Lonchura striata: one gene and its partner. The protein of the gene in region 1 purifies or fractionates together with the protein of each later gene. This does not show direct contact. Links are inferred from orthologs where the notes say so. Each region holds a gene or a part of one and is shown on either strand. Other genes may lie near its edges. The genes, in order: OCRL and PLEKHJ1.

Region 1 (8,766 bases):
CAGCAGACAGCCACTCCTGCTCCTTTGTAGAATCCAAGTAGAAAAAAGCCTCCGTGCTGAGGTCCAGCTCCTGGAACCTGGAAACCCAAGAGCTTAGCACCTCCAGCCTTCCTGCACATCCCCCTCTTCCTACAGAAATGTGAAACCTCCAGCAACAGCCCTTGGAGGAACAGCTCCTTATGGCCACTTGCTAAATAAAGCAGTAGAATTCCCCCATAGTGCCTTTGAGATCCTACCCCAAACCCCCCAGCAGCCCTTTCCCTGAGAAACACCACTTTAGACAGAGGACAACGAGTGAGCTCTGCAGATAAACTCTGTATTTCCAGCTCTTCAGGAAAATCTATTATGTCATGCTAGCTTTGTACAACCTGATCCTCTGCCTCATCCAATAGCTTTTTGCCCTCAGACGGCCCCTGTGTGCCACAGCTCAGCTCTGTGCAGCCTCTGAGAGCACAACAGGAACCTAAACCCAAGCCAGTCCTCCTGGAGCCCCTGCAGCTGCTCACCCGATGCAGTAGAAATCCGGGGGCTCCATGTCATACGCCAGCCATGGGGTCAAGTAGCTGTCAGGAGACTGCCCATTCACATTCCAGGTTCCCACAAAGAACCTACAACACAAAAGCAGCTGAGCTGTTAGAAACACCATGAAAATCACAGCAGCACAACAGTGTTCTGGCTGGAAGCACACACTGTGAACTGTCCCTACAGGGGGCAATGACTGCCATGGGGGAACTGAAAGTCACAGAATCACTGAGGTCGGAAAAGACCTCCAGGATCACTGAGTCCAACCTGTGCCCAATCCCCACCTTGTCACCCAGCCCAGAGCACGGAGTGCCACATGCAGGCATTCCTTAGGCACCTCCAGAGATGGGGACTCTTCCCTGTGCAACCCCTTCCAATGCCTGACCACCCCTTCCATGAAGAAATTCCTCCTGGTGTCCAACCTGAACCTTTCCTGCAGCAGTTTGAGGCCATTTTCTTTTGTACTCTCCCTTGCTCCCTGGGAGCAGAGCCCAACCCCCCGGCTGCCCCCTCCTGTCAGGGAGCTGGGGAGAGCCAGAAGGTCCCCCTGAGCCTCCTCTTCTCCAGGCTGAGGCTTCCCTGATCCCTCAGTCACTCCTTCAAAATTCTCCCAGGCTTGGCTCACTCCCAGTGACAGTCCCCTGAGTAAGGCATTCCACCAGCAAACATCTGGCTCTTTGAACATCATGTCACGAGGGGCAACACCATGACACTATGGTGGGACCTCAGTCTTCACTCTTTCTGCCCACCTGCCCCAGCCCTACCAAGGCTCACAATATCTGACACACACAGAGAGAAGACAAAGGGAGCAGCTGTCCCATGGACATGAGACTTTTGGGCTGTACCATCCTCACTGGCCACTTGAGCTGCAACCCCTCACCAGCTACCAGGGTCCAATCCTGGGTGAGATCCAAGCTCACAGGAGAGATCCTGCAGCTCTGTCCTTCCCTCCCAGGTCTCACCTGAAGTTGTGCAGGTTGATGTAGGCCTTCTCCCTCTTGGCCAGCACATGTTTGATGAGCCCCTCTCTCTGCCCCGACTGTGTGCTGGGCAAAAAGATCTTGCGCATCGTGTTGGTCACCTTGGGCTGGTCTCTGGATGTGCCTTCTCTCTCCCGGTGAAATCTAGGAAGGAAGCAAGAGCAGCACTAGAACTAGTTCTGCTGTCTAGGAAGAAAAGTAAAAAAGGGAACAGATCCCTTACTGCTTATTCTGAGGGACAGGAGGAGGTGGGGGTTCCCGTCGAGATCCCGTCTGGTGGTTTTGCATGTTTCTTTTCTCTTCTAGGCTCAGAGTGTTGAAGTCATCCTCAAACCCCAGAGCTCCTGTAATGAAAAATCCAAGAAAAACACCCTGAGAAACAATCTGAAACAGCTCAGATCAAGAAGGAAAAAATGTAACCAAAAAACCAAACGAGAGTAGGAATACATCAACTGTGTGACCCTGGAAATGGGAGAAAGGGGCACTAACCACAAGGCAAGGCAGGAAGCTCAACATACACAAACCAAGGGTGAAAATAGCACTCAGGAAGGAATTAACAGACAAGGAAGCATGGCCAGACCCAGATCCCACCCTTGGCACCCCAGAACTGCACAGGCCCCGGAGCAAAGTCAACTGTACCTGGAGATAGACCTGTAAGGCTCTTCTCCACCTGATGCCAAATGGCTGAGTCCTTAGGTTCAGGAAGAGATGCTTTCAGGTGGGCTGGAAAAAATCCATCCCTGTCAGTCACTGCTGGCAGAGGATTTCACATGCACAGGGGAGACTCTGCTCACCTTCCTGTATGCTCTGCACTTCTGACAGGAATCCCAAGCAGCGCTCCTCGTCAGGGATCTCAAAGAGCCGCTCCGGCGCCTCGTCACCCTGGATCCGGACCTTGCAGCCTGCTTCAAACACACTCACTGAGTCAGCCCAGGCTGCCTCAGAGCCCCCAGGCTTCCCACCCAGCTTCCAGGTGTTGTTTGTTTTGGAAACCTGCACCTCCCTGCACTTCTGAGGTCCCCCCACACTGCTTGGGATATCCCCAGCACATTATCCTGGCTTTAGGAATCCTCCCTACTGCAATTTTGAAAACAAGAGCTCTAAAAGCAGGAAAATAACTGCAAACATTTTGACCATTTGCATTTCAAACCTTGTCTGTCATGACAAGCCAGTGTCTCACAGAGCCAGATGACAATGTCAGAGGGAAAACAATCCCTGTTTGAGCAGAGGACAAACACAGAGCCTGGGGGAAGACTGGAAGGCAAAACAAGCACCAGTGGCTGTTCCATGACAGGACCTTTAGCTGCACCACTACCCTTATGAAACTTACTGTTTGTAGCTATATCAATCAGCAGAGTTTCTTCTGCCTCTAGAAAAGAGAAAAACATGATCAGTAGAGCTGACGCTGGATGCTGCAGTAATTGAAGACTCATATAATTACACTGCCTGCTGCCAGCCATGAGAGAGTCCTAACAGGAACAAAGAGCTCTAATTTACATCTGTACATTCCTAACGGTTCTGGCAGAGAGAACCTGGACAGTCACCTCCCAGCAGGGAGATTCCCACCACACAGTTCTCATACATCTGGCTGGTTTTTCCCCATCAGTGCAGCTACTTCAGGAAAGACCAACTTGACAAGGAACTTCAGAGCTTCTCTACAGAGCAAAATCAGGGGCAGAACATCCTGAACTGCACACAAGGGAATGAGTAAATTCAGGAAAAAGGACTTTTACTCCTTACAAAGATTTGCCCCAGGACCACTTGCTGCTATTTAAGTTCTTCCAAAACAAGGCCTAAAGCCCTTCCTCATTCAGCACGTGGGATGCTGAGAGCTTGGTAGACCTTAGGAAGTTTAGATGTAAACATGCAGGATAAAGCAACAGCTCCCAACTCTCGGCAGAGCAGAGAAGTCTGAGAGACCGACACCAGCAGACAGCAAATTCCAGACCCTGAAACCAGATGCTGCATGTGTTGGCTCTGTGTGATGCCAAGCACACCACGCACTGGAGCCAGCCAAGTTCCTCACAAGTTCATGCTGACATGGAATGACAACCTGCTTGAATGAGGAACAAGGGGATGCCATAAAATGTGACTTGCTGCTTCACAGAGAAAGGATTCAATCCGCTGTGGCTCGGGAGACAGGTCAGGAAACACCATTAAATTTAAGGTTTGTGGATCAACAGCAGGGGATTCTCGACCTTCCCCCCAGCAGTCAGTACCTTGCACACACTTAAAACGGCTGTTGATGGGAATATAATCCGGATCAGAGTTTTCTTTCTCCTGGGAGCGAATAACCACCCTGCAGACAGAAGGAAGGCTTGTAAAAACCCGGCAGGAACGCACACAAACAGGAGCTGTGTGTACAGAGACACAACGTTTGATTTTTATCGCTAAGCTTCTGGGGCAGGAGTTGAAAAAGGCAACGAAGGTGAGATCGTGCAGGACGCGGATACCCCGGGGGAGAAGGAAGAGCTGCTGAACTCTCGCTGCCACGGGGCAGGTCCAACACCGGGCTGGCAGCGGCTCTGGTTACCGGGGGAGCATCGGGGAGCCGGGAAGGCACCTCCGGAGCGCCGGTCCCGCGGGGTGAGGGGACCGGCCGGGGGAGCACGCAGGGATGCCGAGAGTCACGGCTGTGGCAGCTGGGCGCGGAACCGAGCCCCGCCGCGGCGGCACCGAGCGAGGCGAGCCGGGCCCCGCCGCGCTCGCACTCACTCACCCGTAGCGGCCGGCCCGCCGCTCCAGGCCGAGCACGCACGGCTCCCGCCGCCCGGCCCGCACCTCCGCACCAGCAACGCTCTTGGCCGCAGTTAAGAAAACCTCCGGTCACCGGCCTGCCCCGCCCCACCGCGGCCCCCCGCCCGCCCGGCCCGCCGCGCGCGGTGGATACGAGCAGGCCGCGGCCCGCGGCGCGCGCCTCCATGGCAGCGCTCGCCCTCCGCCGGCTCCGCGCTGCGCACGGCCGCGGAGCGCCGCGCCGCCCGCCGCCGCGCCCCCTGCTGGCGGGAGGTCCCGCCGCCCGCGCCCGTGACCGGGAGTGCGCCGGGGGCGGGCGGACTTGTGGATCTGCCGGGCTCCCCCTGGATGTCCCACACCTCGCTTCCCACCGCGCGGCGGGAAAGGGACCGGCCGGGACCGGAGCTCGTCCCGGTGTTTGCCCCGACCCGCGAGGAGGCGCGGGCAGCGCTCGGCCCCGCCCCTTTGCCCGCCCCCGGCGTTGATTGGCTGCGGGCGGTGGTGATTTACATGTGGCGCGGGGCAGGCCGGGAAGGGCCGGGTTTGAAGCGCAGGGCGGCAGCGCTGGCGCCATGGCCGCTCCCGGGCCGCGAGAGGCGGCGGCGGCAGAAGAGGAGCGGTACCGGGGGTGAGCGGCGACGGGGCTGAGCGGCCGCGGGCGGGCGGGCTGGGGCTGGGGCTGGGGCTGGGGTTGGGTTCGGGGTTGGCGTTGGCGGGCCGGGCCGGGCCGGCACTCCTGGGTGCAGCCCGGGCCTGGCCACCCGGTGCTCACGGTGACTCCCACAGGCTCGTGGCCAGCGCGAAGGCGGCGGCGGCCGACGGGGACCTTGAAGAGGCGCTGCGGCTGTTCCGGCTGGCGGCTGCCATCCGCCCCAGCGAGAAGCTGCAGAACCGCATGCGGCGGGTGCAGGAGGCACTGGCGGCGGCCGAGCAGCAGCAGCAGGAGGAGGAGGAGGATGATGAGGGTTTCGTGGACGTGTGCGGCAGCGGCCTGCTGATCTACGGGGAGATGCACAGGAAGCTGTTCCAGCACCAGCGGGAAGGTGTTGCCTTCCTGTACCGCCTGCACCGGGAGCGCAAGCCTGGCGGCATCCTGGCAGATGACATGGGCCTGGGCAAGACCATCCAGGTGATTGCCTTCCTGTCGGGTATGTTCGATGCCGAGCTCATCCAGCACGTCCTACTCATCATGCCCACCACCCTGGTCAGCAGCTGGCTGGCTGAGTTTGCTCGCTGGACCCCCGGCCTTCGCGTCAAGGAGTTCCATGGCACCAGCAAGACAGAGCGCACCAGGAACTTGGAAAGGGTCCAGAGGAAGAACGGCATCATCATCACGAGCTACCAGATGCTCATTAACAATTGGAAGCAGCTGGCCAGCCGCCATGAGCAGGAGTTTGTCTGGGACTACATTATCCTTGATGAAGCACATAAGATCAAGTGCCCGTCAAACAAGACAACCAAGTGTGTGTATGCAATCCCGGCCCACTACCGCATCCTGCTTACAGGCACCCCTGTGCAGAACAACCTCCGGGAACTGTGGTCCTTGTTTGACTTTGCCTGTCAAGGCTCCCTCCTGGGAACTGCCAAAACTTTTAAAATGGAGTATGAGAATCCCATTACCAGGGCGAGGGAGAAGGATGCGACTCCAGGTGAGAAAGCACTGGGGCTAAAGATATCAGAGAATCTCATGTCAATTATAAAGCCTTATTTCCTCAGAAGGACCAAGGAAGACATCAAAAACTATCATACCAATAAAGCTGATCCTACTCTTTCTGAGGATCCAAGTGAGAACAAGGCTCCTGTCATGCCATCTCTCACTAGGAAAAATGACTTTGTCGTGTGGGTGTACCTGGCACCAGTGCAGGAAGAAATCTACAGGAACTTTCTCTGCCTCGATCATGTGAAGGAAGTACTGATGATGAACCGATCACCTTTGGCTGAGCTGACAATCCTGAAGAAACTCTGTGACCACCCCAGGCTTCTGTCTCCAAGAGCCTGTACCCAGCTGGGCTTGGAAGAGGAAGAGGAGGACTCCGAGCAGGATTACAGGATGGAAGCAGTTATGTTTGCAGGCAAGAACAAAATAGATCATCTCTCTGATGAGACTGTGATCGAGGAGTCTGGGAAGATGCAGTTCCTTGTGGGACTGCTGGAGCGGCTGAGAGAAGAGGGACACCGAACCCTGGTGTTCTCACAGTCGAGGAAGATGCTGGATATCATAGAGTTCGTCCTGTCTCGCCGACAGTTCCAGATCCTGCGCATCGACGGCACGGTGACCCACCTGACGGAGCGGGAGAGGCGCATCAACGCCTTCCAGAGCAACACCACCTACTCTGTCTTCCTGCTCACCACACAGGTTGGGGGCGTTGGCATAACCTTGACAGCGGCCAGCCGAGTGGTGATCTTTGATCCCAGCTGGAATCCAGCAACTGATGCTCAGGCTGTGGACAGAGCTTACAGAATTGGGCAAAAAGAGAACGTAGTGATTTACAGACTGATCACCTGCGGCACCGTGGAAGAGAAGATATACAGGCGGCAGGTATTCAAGGACTCGTTAATCAGACAGACCACCGGTGACAAAAAGAACCCGTTCCGTTATTTCTCCAAACAGGAACTAAGAGAGCTCTTCATATTGGAAGATACTCGGACATCTGCAACTCAGATCCAGCTGCAGTCCCTGCACGCCATGCAAAGGAAGTCTGACCTGCAGCTGGATGAGCATCTTGCTTACCTGCATTCCTTGGCAATGTTTGGCATTTCTGACCACGACCTGATCTACACAAGGGAGATGGCTCATGAGGAGCAGGTGGAGAGCGAGGAAGCCCATCAGTACATCCAGCGGAGAGTACAGAAAGCCCATGAGCTGGTCCAGCTGGAGTCCCAGCTCAGAGATCAGAGGATGGAGGGGATCAGGAATACTTGTGAAGAGTTGTGGCAAAGACCATCGGGATCAGTTTCCAGGCCAAAGAAGTTGTCTCCAGGGTTGAATGACAAAAATAATTTTGTTTCACCACCAGTAGCTGATGCACAAGAAAAAGACAAATTTATTGATCTTACAGAGGACGAAGAAGCCCAGGTGCTCGATGTCAGCTCCAGAATGGCAACTCTGACTGTTGGTGACTTGGATGAAGAGCAACTGGCACAAGGTGTGTCCAGTATGGAGACAGAAGTGCTCAATACCAGCAAGACAGCAGAACAATCTGATCAAGAACAAGCAGAACAAGAATCTGAGCAAAATCCTGAATCTAACATTATACCATCATCCCCTGCACTCGAGAAAGAGAGTCAGAGCCTCCAAGAGAAACAACATTCGCAGGTACATTCAGACAGCTCGGCCAAGACAAGGAATGACCTGTCTTGGCATTGTCACAATTCCTCCCAGTCTGGCATGGCTGATCCTAGAAGTGAGGCAGAATTGTCAGTTCAGATACTTGACCCACACAGTGCCCTGGGGACAGAGCAGAACAATGATCCTGAGCCGGCTTCTGCAGTGCTGAGTTTAAAAAATGCTACACCAGAAGTCAATGCTGAGCTCTACAAGTCTCATGTGCTAGAAGACAGCTCAGAGGCTACATCTGCTCCTTCTTTCCAGGATCAAGTTGACTTCAATCTGGTTTTGGAAGAGTCTGAAGAGGAATGGCAGGATGCCTCAAATAGAGGAGGATCAGTGGAACACCCTGAGAAGGAGAGCTTACAACTCCAGGCAGAAAGCTTGTGTAAATCTCCAGACAAAGAATCTCCAAACAAAACTTGGCCAAGTGAGACCAGTAGCCATGGCAAACCCTGTCTCACAGCTGAGGAAGAGCCAAATGCCTCCCTGCAAGAGAGTAAATCATTGGAGGAAAGCAGTGGTCTCTTTATTTCTAGTAGGAAGAAACGCTTAAACAGAATTTCTTCAGACAGTGAGAGTGAAGAGCAGCCTGAACAAGTGCCCTCCTCTCCCTTGGATAGCATTCAGCACGGACGTCTGGAAGGAATTAATGCTTCCACCCCTAAATATGACACAACAAGAGCTAAAGCCATCTTTTCTCCCCAATTAAATAACAGTGGAAACAGGTCTAATGCTTCCAGGCGCTCATTCATCAGCAGGTTGGTAGATGAGGTGGAGGACATTGGGGAAATCATGGGAACCACTGATGAAGAAGATGATGATGATGATGATGATGATGATGAGGAGGAGGAGGAGGAGGAGCAAGATGGGCTTGTGGAAGATGAAGCTGAGGAGTGCACTGGGGAATCTGCTGAGCCTGAAGAAGAACCTGATGGAGAAACACTTGATACAAGTGAAGAGTCCTCTCACACAGACAGTGTGGAATCTGAGCAGTCCGAGGCAGAGTCATCACAGGAGGAATCCACAGGTGACGCTGAGCTCCAGTCAGATGAGCAGATTGACTACTTCACCCAGCAAAGCAGCTCTGAAAAGGACATTGGGCAGAATTCCTCTCCTGCTGCAGATTATGACACTTTGGTACAGAGTGGGAAGAAGCTTCAGAATGATGGAAAACTCCAGGAGGCTTTGGACTGCTTC
Region 2 (8,766 bases), on another chromosome or scaffold:
ACTGCTCCAGGGGGTCCTGTGGGGGAGCACAGGGAGGCACCAGTGAGATGCAGACAAAGCCCAGCAGCCCTTGGGACACACGGGACACAGCAGGGAGCCAAGGTCCAGGGGAGCCACAGTCACGTCCCTCCCTGGAGCAGGGGGTGAGCAGCATCTCCACCCATGGATCTGCCCAGGTGTGAACTGTTCCAGCTCTGCGCCTGTCCAGCTCCAAACCTTGGGCCACTCCAGCATCAGAGTGTGTATCAGAGTTAGGTGAGCACCCAGGAGAAGGTCTTCAGGTCTGGCTGTGGAGACCATGGCTCCCTATGGGATCTGGAATCTCCTTCCCACACACAGCCTGGGCAGGACTGGCAGCAACAGCCCCTGCTGCCAGCCAGAGCCATCAGCCACACCTGAGCTGCAGGGACTCACTCACCTTCCCTGTCATCTTCTGGATCTCGTTCCTGTAGAAAATCAGGCTCCTCCTCAGGAACTCGTAGCTGCAAGACAGGAACAGAGCACGGGAAGGGCTGAGCAGAGAAGGATGTGGGGAAGTTTCAGATGCTATTTCGAGCTGGAGGGAAGCTTGTCTGGGAGGAGACAAGCACTGCCCTCCCAGTTCCTGATCCCAGAACACAGCCCAGAGCCCCCAGCACTGCCCTGGCTCCGAGGGCTCAGCCCACCTGGCTCTCTTGAGTGCCTCAACCCACTCCTGGCACTGCTCCTCCGTGGCACACTCAAAGCAGTATTTCCTCTCTGGCTCCTCGATGAAACCTGCCAGGGACAAGGAAAAGGCTCCAGGCAGGTCCTGGCAGAGCTGCTGGTGCTCCCCAGACTCTGCCAGGCCACAATTAGCAGCTCTGTTAACGAAGATGAGGTGGGAATGAGTCTGCAGCCCCCACCTCCAGCCCCTCTCCCATTGCCTGGGTGGCTCTGGGTGCCTGGGGCAGCTGCCCACAGCATTTCCCAGCTTACAGCAGCCAGAGACCTTGGGAAGAGCAGCTTCCCAAACTGAGGGTGAATTGAACTGGACCACACGGCCAGATCCAGGACTGACTCCCTGAGGCCCCTTGCAAAGACACCAGGAATTTAAATCCAAGTGGGAACAGCCCTGAGAGAGGAACTGGGATACCTGCAGGGAGCAGCCAACAGAGGAGTTAAACTGCACTGGGAGAAGGCCCTGAGCTGCCTTTGCTGGAAGCTTTTGGGAACGTGGTATTCACATGGTACTCCCACCATGGAGAGCAGGTCCTGGTGCCACTCCAGTTCTTGACCAGGACAGAGCCAGGACATGCCACCAGTTCCTGTCCCCAAAGCTCTGCTGAGCAGACCCTCAGGGCTGCTGCTGCCAAGCACCTGGGTCAGGCTGCACCAGCACCTCGGGATGGGCTGTGGACACATCCCAACACCAGGTACCGCTGGGTTTAACCCTGCTCAGGAATCCTCCTCCACCAGAGCTCCCAAAATCCCTAAAGCCCCAAAATCCAGCACATGGTGCTCCAGGCTCAGTGTGTTCAGGCAGTTTGTGGGTCCTTTGGAAGCACAGAGCAGAACCACAGCTGTGCCTGGCAGCCAGGCCAAAAGATACAGGGATGGCCTTGGAGAAACATCCTGTTATTGTGGCCACATACCTCTGGCAGAGGGGAGAGCTGCGGGATGAAAGGCTGCTCCCAGGGGAGCTGGCCCAGCTGCCGCTGCACAAGGACGCACAGAGGGGAGGATGGGGCTGGAGCAGCTTTATCTGAGCCTCTCTAGGGTGTTTTTTGGATAAAATGCAGCAGCACAGAGCAGATCTGTCAATAACCAAGCTCCCCCTGCCAGAGATTCCACAGGCAGGCAGTGGGGCCTGGCTGCTCTTAGTGCTGCTCTGCACGTGCAGCTGTGCAAGTCCCTCAGGCTGTGCCATGGAATATCCCTGAGCTTTCCTCGGGATGGCCACAGGCACAGTGAGGAACAGCTGGCACCTGAGGAGGGGAAAGGTTGAGGAATTGGTAAAGTTGGAAATGGCCTTTAAGACCATCAAGTCCAACCATCAGCTCAGCACCACCAGGTTCACCACTCACCCCTGTCCCCAGGTGCCACATCCACAGATCTCCTGAACACTCCCAGGGATGGGGACTCCACCACTGCCCTGGGCAGTCCGTGCCAGTACTTCCAAACCTTTTTGGTGAGTAAATTTTCCCCAGTATCCAATCTAAACCTGTCCTGGGCACAACTGGAGGACATTTCTTCTTGTCTTGTCCTCTGTTCCCTGGGAGCAGAGCCTGACCCCCACCTGAAGGGCCCTGACCCCACTGAGGGAGAGGAGAAGGGCTGGGGGCAGTGACCCCACTGAGGAGGGGAAGGGCTGAGCTGACCCCACTGCACCAGGGAAACAGGGGAAAGCAGAACTGAGCATTCAGCATTCCCTTTCCCACCAGGGGAAGGCAAAGGGGTGCACAGGCAGCACTCACTGATGGAGAAGACGTTCTCCTCCTCTTTGGTGATCTTGCAGTGCTCCAGCAGCAGAGCTCCAATGGGCTGAAAACACATGGAGAGAAGGTTTAACCCACAGGGGCCCCAACACCACGAGGGCTCAACCCACGGTACTTCCCTGGAGCCTTTTAAGCAACTTTCACAAGCTGGTGCTGCTTTTGAATAATTCATTCTGATTGCACCATATTTCATGTTCCTTTAATCACCTTTTCATGCCAGTCTCACCTGCAACACTTTGCATTTGTTAATTAGGTGTCAATCATCTCTACTGGCTCAGTTTCAGCCTGGTCTTAACCACTCTGTGATACCAGAGAAAAACATTTGCTTTTAAAATCAAAGATGAAACATTTACTGTGACACCCAGAATAACCAACACTGAGCTATGCAAGGGCTGTCCTGGAGCCTTGCAAGTGTGAGCAGAGCTGCAGCAGCTGAGGATGACCAAAAAACCACCTGGTACTACTCAGGGACACGGGGACAGCAGGTGACATTGGCCATGAACAAAAGCAACCACAAGAAATCCTTGTCCAAGTGAACCAACATGTCAGAAGCAAATCAGGCAGCAGGGAAGGGATTGCAGACCTGATTTATCTTGCATTTCATACAACTCTTTGGGTTGGAAGAGATCTCAAAGCCCATCCAGTGCCACTCCTGCCATGGCAGGGACACCTTCCACCATCCCAGGCTGCTCCAAGCCCTGTCCAGCCTGGCCTTGGGCACTGCCAGGGATCCAGGGTGGGCACCCTGTGCCAGGGCCTGCCCACCCTGCCAGGAACAATTCCTGCCCAATCTCCCATCCAGCCCTGCCCTCTGGCACTGGGAGCCATTCCCTGTGTCCTGTCCCTCCAGGCCTTGTCCCCAGTCCCTCTCCAGCTCTCCTGGAGCCCTGCTGAACTGATGGAAGGTGGACCCTGCTCCAGCTCTGCCATGCACCATTTTCCCAGCCCACACAATCCAGGCATAGAAAAAGAAGAAAGGAGGAGGGGAACAAACCCCACGCAGAGGCCCAATCCCTACCTCAGCCTCATCGGTGCGGAAGTAGAAGAGAAAGTTCACCACGAGCTTCACCAGGCGCTTCTTCAGCACTGCAGGGGCACAAGGGAGCAGGGCAGGGCTGAGGCAGGGGCACGGGGAGCAGGGGAGCCCTGCCCACCCTGCCAGGGCCCAGCGTGGCGCTGACCCCACCAAGGCACCCCCCGAGGCTGCTCCCTCAGGGTGACAGTGTCTGAGTGGCCTCAGGGTGACAAAGCCCCTGAGCAGCTCCCGGGCAGTCAGAGCTCACAGCAGCAGCACCACGGGGCTCCAGGCACTCCAGGAAAAGCTCCGGATCCTGGGAGCCCTGCCTGGAGCTGCCAGCACGGGCGTCACCCCCACGGGACAAAGTCCAGCAGGTGCTCAGAGGACGAAAGGCTCAGGACAAGGGAGTGAGCACAACACTGCTTGTTTGCAGGGGAATTTTCTAGGAGATTTCAGGGAAGACCTTCTTCCCCAGATCCCCTGGAAATGGGGGATCTCCCTGGCCCCAGCCCAGCCCCAGAACCTCCCTGCACGCCCATACTGGAGCCCAGCACTCGTGCTCCCCACTGCCACACTCCAGCCCTCCCAGCCTGCCTGTCCCCAGCCCTGCCTCCCAGCACTCCCAGTCCTGCCCTGGTTTCCCAGCCTGGATTCTCCAGTACCCTCAATCCTCCCACCCAGCTCCCCCAGACCCTCTCCAGCCTCTTCCCCCAGCAGCTCCAGTTCTGATTCTGCAGTCGGGGCCCCTCAAGTACCCTCAGCCCTTCCCTGGTCCTACCCCAGTTTCCCACTCGTGATTCTCCAGTTCCCCCAGCCCCACCACCCACGGCACCTTCCCAGTCCCTCCCAGTATCCCCAGTCCCGACTCTGCCCCCCAGGTACCGCCGGTCCTGTCCCACCTTCCCCTGCCTCCCCCAGCACTCCCAGTTCGCCCAGTCCCGGCTCGGAGCCGCCCCAGTTTCCCCAGTATCCTCAGCCCCACCGCCGCAGCTCCCCTCGCACACCGCTCCCGCTGTCCCAGCCCTGCCTCCCCGCTCGGGGCCCCTCAGGCAGCGCCGATCCCCCCGCGCTCCCGCCCCGGTACCCCAGCCCCGGCTGCGCCCCGCGCGGATCCCGCTCACCGCTGCCCTTCTTGGGGACACTCATGCGGATCTCGGCCGCTTTCTCGGCCGGCTGCCGGGCCAGGGACAGCAGCTCCCGCTCGTTGTAGCGCATGGCGGGCCCCGGCCCCGGCCACGGCCCCGCCCGGGCCGCCCCAGCGCCGCCGGAAGCGCCCTCAGAGCGCCCGGAACGGCTCCGGGGCCGGAACGGCTTCGGAGCCCGGAACGGCCTCGGCGGGCCGGAACGGCTTCGGGGCCCGGAACGGCTTCAGAGCCCGGAACGGCTTCGGAGCCCGGAACGGCCTCGGCGGGCCCGGAACGGCTCCAGGGCCCGGAACGGCTTCGGGGCCGGAACGGCTTCGGGGCCCGGAACGGCTTCGGGGCCGGAACGGCTCCAGGGCCCGGAACGGCTTCGGCGGGCCCGGAACGGCTTCGGAGCCGGAACGGCCTCGGCGGGCCGGAAACACCGCGGAGCCGCGGGAGCGCGCAGGCGCCGGGGCGGGAGCGCGGCCGCGCGCAGGTTCGGAGCGGGGAGAGACCCTGAGGGGAGAGGGGGGAGAGGGGAGCTGAGGGGAGAGGGGCCATGAGGGGAGAGGGGGACTGAAGAGGGGCCGTGAGGGGAGAGGGGGAACTGAGGGGAGAGGGGGACTGAGGGGGAACGGGGCAGGACTGGGGGAACTGGGGAGTCGGGGCTGGGCAACTGGGAGTGCTGCGTGAGGAGAGACTGGGAGAGCTGGAAGAGAGGGACTGGGAATGCTGGGTATGGAGAGACTGGGAGAGCTGGGAAGCAGGAATTGAGAACTGGGTGAGGAAGGACTGGAGAGCTGGGAAAGGAGGGATTGCAAAAGCTGGGAGAGAAGAGACTGGGAGAACTGGGAAAGGAGGAACTGGAAATGCTGGGTGAGGAGGGACTGGAAAGCTGGGAAAGAGGGACTGGAAATGCTGGGTATGGAGAGACTGGGAGAGCTGGGTATGGAGAGATGTGGAATGCTGGGTGAAGGGGAATTGAGAGAACTGGGTGAGGAGGGACTGGGAGTGCTGGGTGAGGAGGATTCAGAGAACTGGGGGAGAAGAGACTGGGAGATCTGGGTATGGAGAGACTAGGAGAGCTTGGTGAGGAGGAATTGAGAGAACTGGGTGAAGAAGGACTGGGAGTTTGGAGTATGGAGAGACTTGGCATGCTGAGTGAGGAGGGACTGGAGAGCTGGGAAGGAGGGACTGGGAGAGCTGGGTAAGGAAGAATTGAGAGAACTGGGTGAGGAGGGACTGGGAGTGCTGGGTGGTCTGGGTGGTGAGGCTGGGGGAACTGGAGAATCACGAGTGGGAAACCAGGGTAGCACCAGGGCAGGATTTGGGTTACTGGGAGGATCAGCGGGGCAGGAACGGAGGCACCTGGAGGTTGCCGAATGCAGAACTGGGATGGAGCTACTGGAAAAGTACTGGGGAAACTGGGTGCCCTGGGTGGGAGGACTGGGGGTGCTGGAGAAACTGAGGGTGCTGGAAATGGAGGGACTAGGAGAACTGGGGTGGTGGGGCTGGGGGAGCTGGAGAATCACGAGTGGGAAACTGGGGTAGGGCCAGGGGAGTGTGGGGAGGATGGGGAAGAGCACCTGAGTGGGAGTCAGTGGGCCTTGACTGGCTGAATCAGGACTGAAGCTACAGGGGGATGTGGCTGGAGAGGGACTGGGGACGAGACACTGGAGAACTGGGTGCTCTGTGGGGAAGGATTTGGGGTTCCTCAAAGGTCTTTCCAGTGTTTGGGCTCCCTGTGGGGAGGTCTAGGCAGGGCTCTGACCTTGCTGAGGGCAGGGGGGACTCCAGGACCTCACCTGGGGCTTGGGGACATTGCTCAGAACCCCTGACCTTGTTGGGGGGCTTGGGGGGCTCTGACCCTCCCTTGGTGTTGGGGGTGGCCCTGGGGCTTTGGGGGTGGTGGGGGAGCATAGACCTGGTGGTGGTCAGGGAGGAGCTCTGGGGCTGTTGGTACCTCAGGTGAGGGGGGAAGGCTCCTCTGGTGGGGCCCAGCTGGGCTTGGAGTGGCTGAGGTGATGGGAAGGGCTCCGGGGGGATTTTCTGGATCCGTACTCGGCTTTCCCAGGTCGGTGGTGCCGGATGTGCTCCATGTGGGATTGCATCCCGTGCTGTGTGCCTGGGGCATGCCTGGGTGTCACCCCCACCCTCGCTGCTGCGGCTGAAGAGTCCTGTGGCTCAGTTGTCCCTGACACTCCTTCCTCTTGGCAGACTCCATTTCTCCAGGAGGAGCTGAAGCCCAGAAATCCCCAGCATGGATTTCCAGCACCGGCCCGGGGGTAAAACGGGCAGCGGGGGCGTGGCCTCGGCCTCCGAGAGCAACCGGGACCGGCGGGAGCGGCTGCGGCAGCTGGCCCTGGAGACCATCGACATCAACAAGGTGCAGGGGAGCCCCCGCAGCCCGGGGGACACCGGGCACAGTCACATTCATGGCATCCTGCAGTGCTTTGGGTTGAAGGGAGCATTAAAGCTCATCCAGGGACATCTCAGGTTTCTCCAAGCCCTGTCCAGCCTAGACTTGGACACTTCCAGGGATCCAGGGGCAGCCACAGCTGCTCTGGGAAATCCATGCCAGCTGCCCACCCTCACAGCCAAGAATTTTTCCCCAGTCTCCCATCTAAACCTACTCTTGGTCTCTTTGAAGCCATTTCCCTTTGTCCTGTCCTTCCAGGCCCTTTTCCAAAGTTTTCCTCTGTCGGTATAGGACACATGAAAGCATGACACAAGCTGCTACTATTGCAAAGGTGAAAAAGAAAGAGTTTATTTTCTGACTCCAGCATTTATACTTTTTTAAAGGTAACAGTGGATTGGAGGGTGCAAGTGCCACCTCTCCAATGACATTGGACAAACTACTAGTACATCAAGTTTCTCCACCTCTATGAAGGAATGCAGAACAATAAGTTGTTTACAGAAAGTTGTGTGAGAAAGTTCTCTAACAGAATGGAAACTCAGAAGGCTTTAGAAAATCTTAAGAATCAGGGCGACATTCCTCCAGTTCTCTTGGAGCCCCTTTAGGCTTTATGGTCACCCCAGAGCCTCCTTGTTTCCAGGCTGAGGTGTGGATTGGGTTTAAATACATCTGTTTCTGGGCATGTGGGGGTTGAATAAGGAATATTTAGGACAGAGTGACAAGGAGGTGCCAGCTCTTGTGTATCCATCTATTTCCAGTCTCCCCAGGGCTGGTTTGGGTTGTGGTGTTTCCTGCTACAGTTGGGAATTCTGTCACCACTGCACACATAGCTGCTGTTGGTTCTCTCTTGTTTCCTCCTCCTAAACCTCTCTTGTGCTGTTAATTTAAAATCTGAACTCAGCTACAGGATCCTAGGGTATCCTGAGCTGGGAGGGACCCTCAGGGATCATCAGTCCAGCTTCTGTCCCTGCACAGACCCCCCAACAGCCCCACCCTGAGCAGCCCTGAGAGCGCTGTCCAAACGCTCCTGCAGCTCTGGCAGCCTCGGGGCCGGGACCATTCCCTGGGGAGCCTGGGCAGTGCCAGCACCCTCAGGGGGAAGAACCTTTCTTCCAGTGCAGAACTCTGCAGTATTTTGGTTATTCTCTTATTTTGCCAATGGATTTTGCTCATAACTCGTCTGTCATTCTTTTCCCAGGACCCCTATTTTATGAAAAATCATTTGGGCTCCTACGAGTGCAAGCTTTGCCTGACGCTCCACAACAATGAGGTGAGGGGAGCACCTGCCTGTCCTGATCCTAGCAGCAGCAATTTGGGAATAACAGGAGCTTCAGCACGTGGGCAGTGACTGCTGAGACCTGAGGGGTGGTTAAACCTGACAGTGTGCACCAAGATCTTGTTGAAGAGTGATTTTCTTCTGAAGGTTCAGGAGTAGTGTAGATGAGCTTAGTCTTCTTCTGAGAATCTAGTAAAAAAGAAAGCTGTTCTTCTTAGAATCTGGTAGAGAAGGACTGCTCCTGGTGTTCTAAATCTCAGATTATATCTAAGTAAGAATACTTAGCTCCTCCCCCTGAGCAGAACATCTCACAATGAGATGATGTAATTTTATCAGTTATGTAGTGAGATTCCATGGCCCATTAACAAGAGATATCTCCCCAGAGGGAAGATTAGTTGTAGAAGAGATAAAGTAAGCTACCCAATAACAAAAAATAACTGCCCCACTTATATAAGAAACAAAATACACATTTATAA

Evidence for each region.
Region 2: the proteins of OCRL (region 1) and PLEKHJ1 purify together in Homo sapiens (co-immunoprecipitation; 3 studies listed by BioGRID and IntAct, counting the BioPlex papers as one, with this or other methods). This does not show direct contact. The link is inferred for Lonchura striata from reciprocal best matches to the Homo sapiens genes OCRL and PLEKHJ1.

Annotation. Positions count from the first base shown.
Region 1 is NC_134616.1:15,210,000-15,218,765, reverse strand, and holds the start of OCRL (inositol polyphosphate 5-phosphatase OCRL), read right to left. Parts: upstream 4,449-8,766; 5' UTR 4,426-4,448; coding exon 4,393-4,425; intron 4,302-4,392; coding exon 4,222-4,301; intron 3,802-4,221; coding exon 3,722-3,801; intron 2,872-3,721; coding exon 2,833-2,871; intron 2,408-2,832; coding exon 2,297-2,407; intron 2,226-2,296; coding exon 2,142-2,225; intron 1,847-2,141; coding exon 1,726-1,846; intron 1,647-1,725; coding exon 1,485-1,646; intron 609-1,484; coding exon 507-608; intron 78-506; coding exon 1-77. Other genes in the region: ERCC6L (DNA excision repair protein ERCC-6-like), read left to right, coding at 4,811-4,866, 5,025-8,766. UniProt on the Homo sapiens protein: Catalyzes the hydrolysis of the 5-position phosphate of phosphatidylinositol 4,5-bisphosphate (PtdIns(4,5)P2) and phosphatidylinositol-3,4,5-bisphosphate (PtdIns(3,4,5)P3), with the greatest catalytic activity towards PtdIns(4,5)P2.
Region 2 is NC_134630.1:2,944,609-2,953,374, forward strand, and holds the start of PLEKHJ1 (pleckstrin homology domain-containing family J member 1), read right to left. Parts: upstream 4,921-8,766; 5' UTR 4,690-4,920; coding exon 4,596-4,689; intron 3,543-4,595; coding exon 3,475-3,542; intron 2,503-3,474; coding exon 2,436-2,502; intron 757-2,435; coding exon 666-756; intron 483-665; coding exon 419-482; intron 17-418; coding exon 1-16. Other genes in the region: SF3A2 (splicing factor 3A subunit 2), read left to right, coding at 6,859-6,984, 8,213-8,284.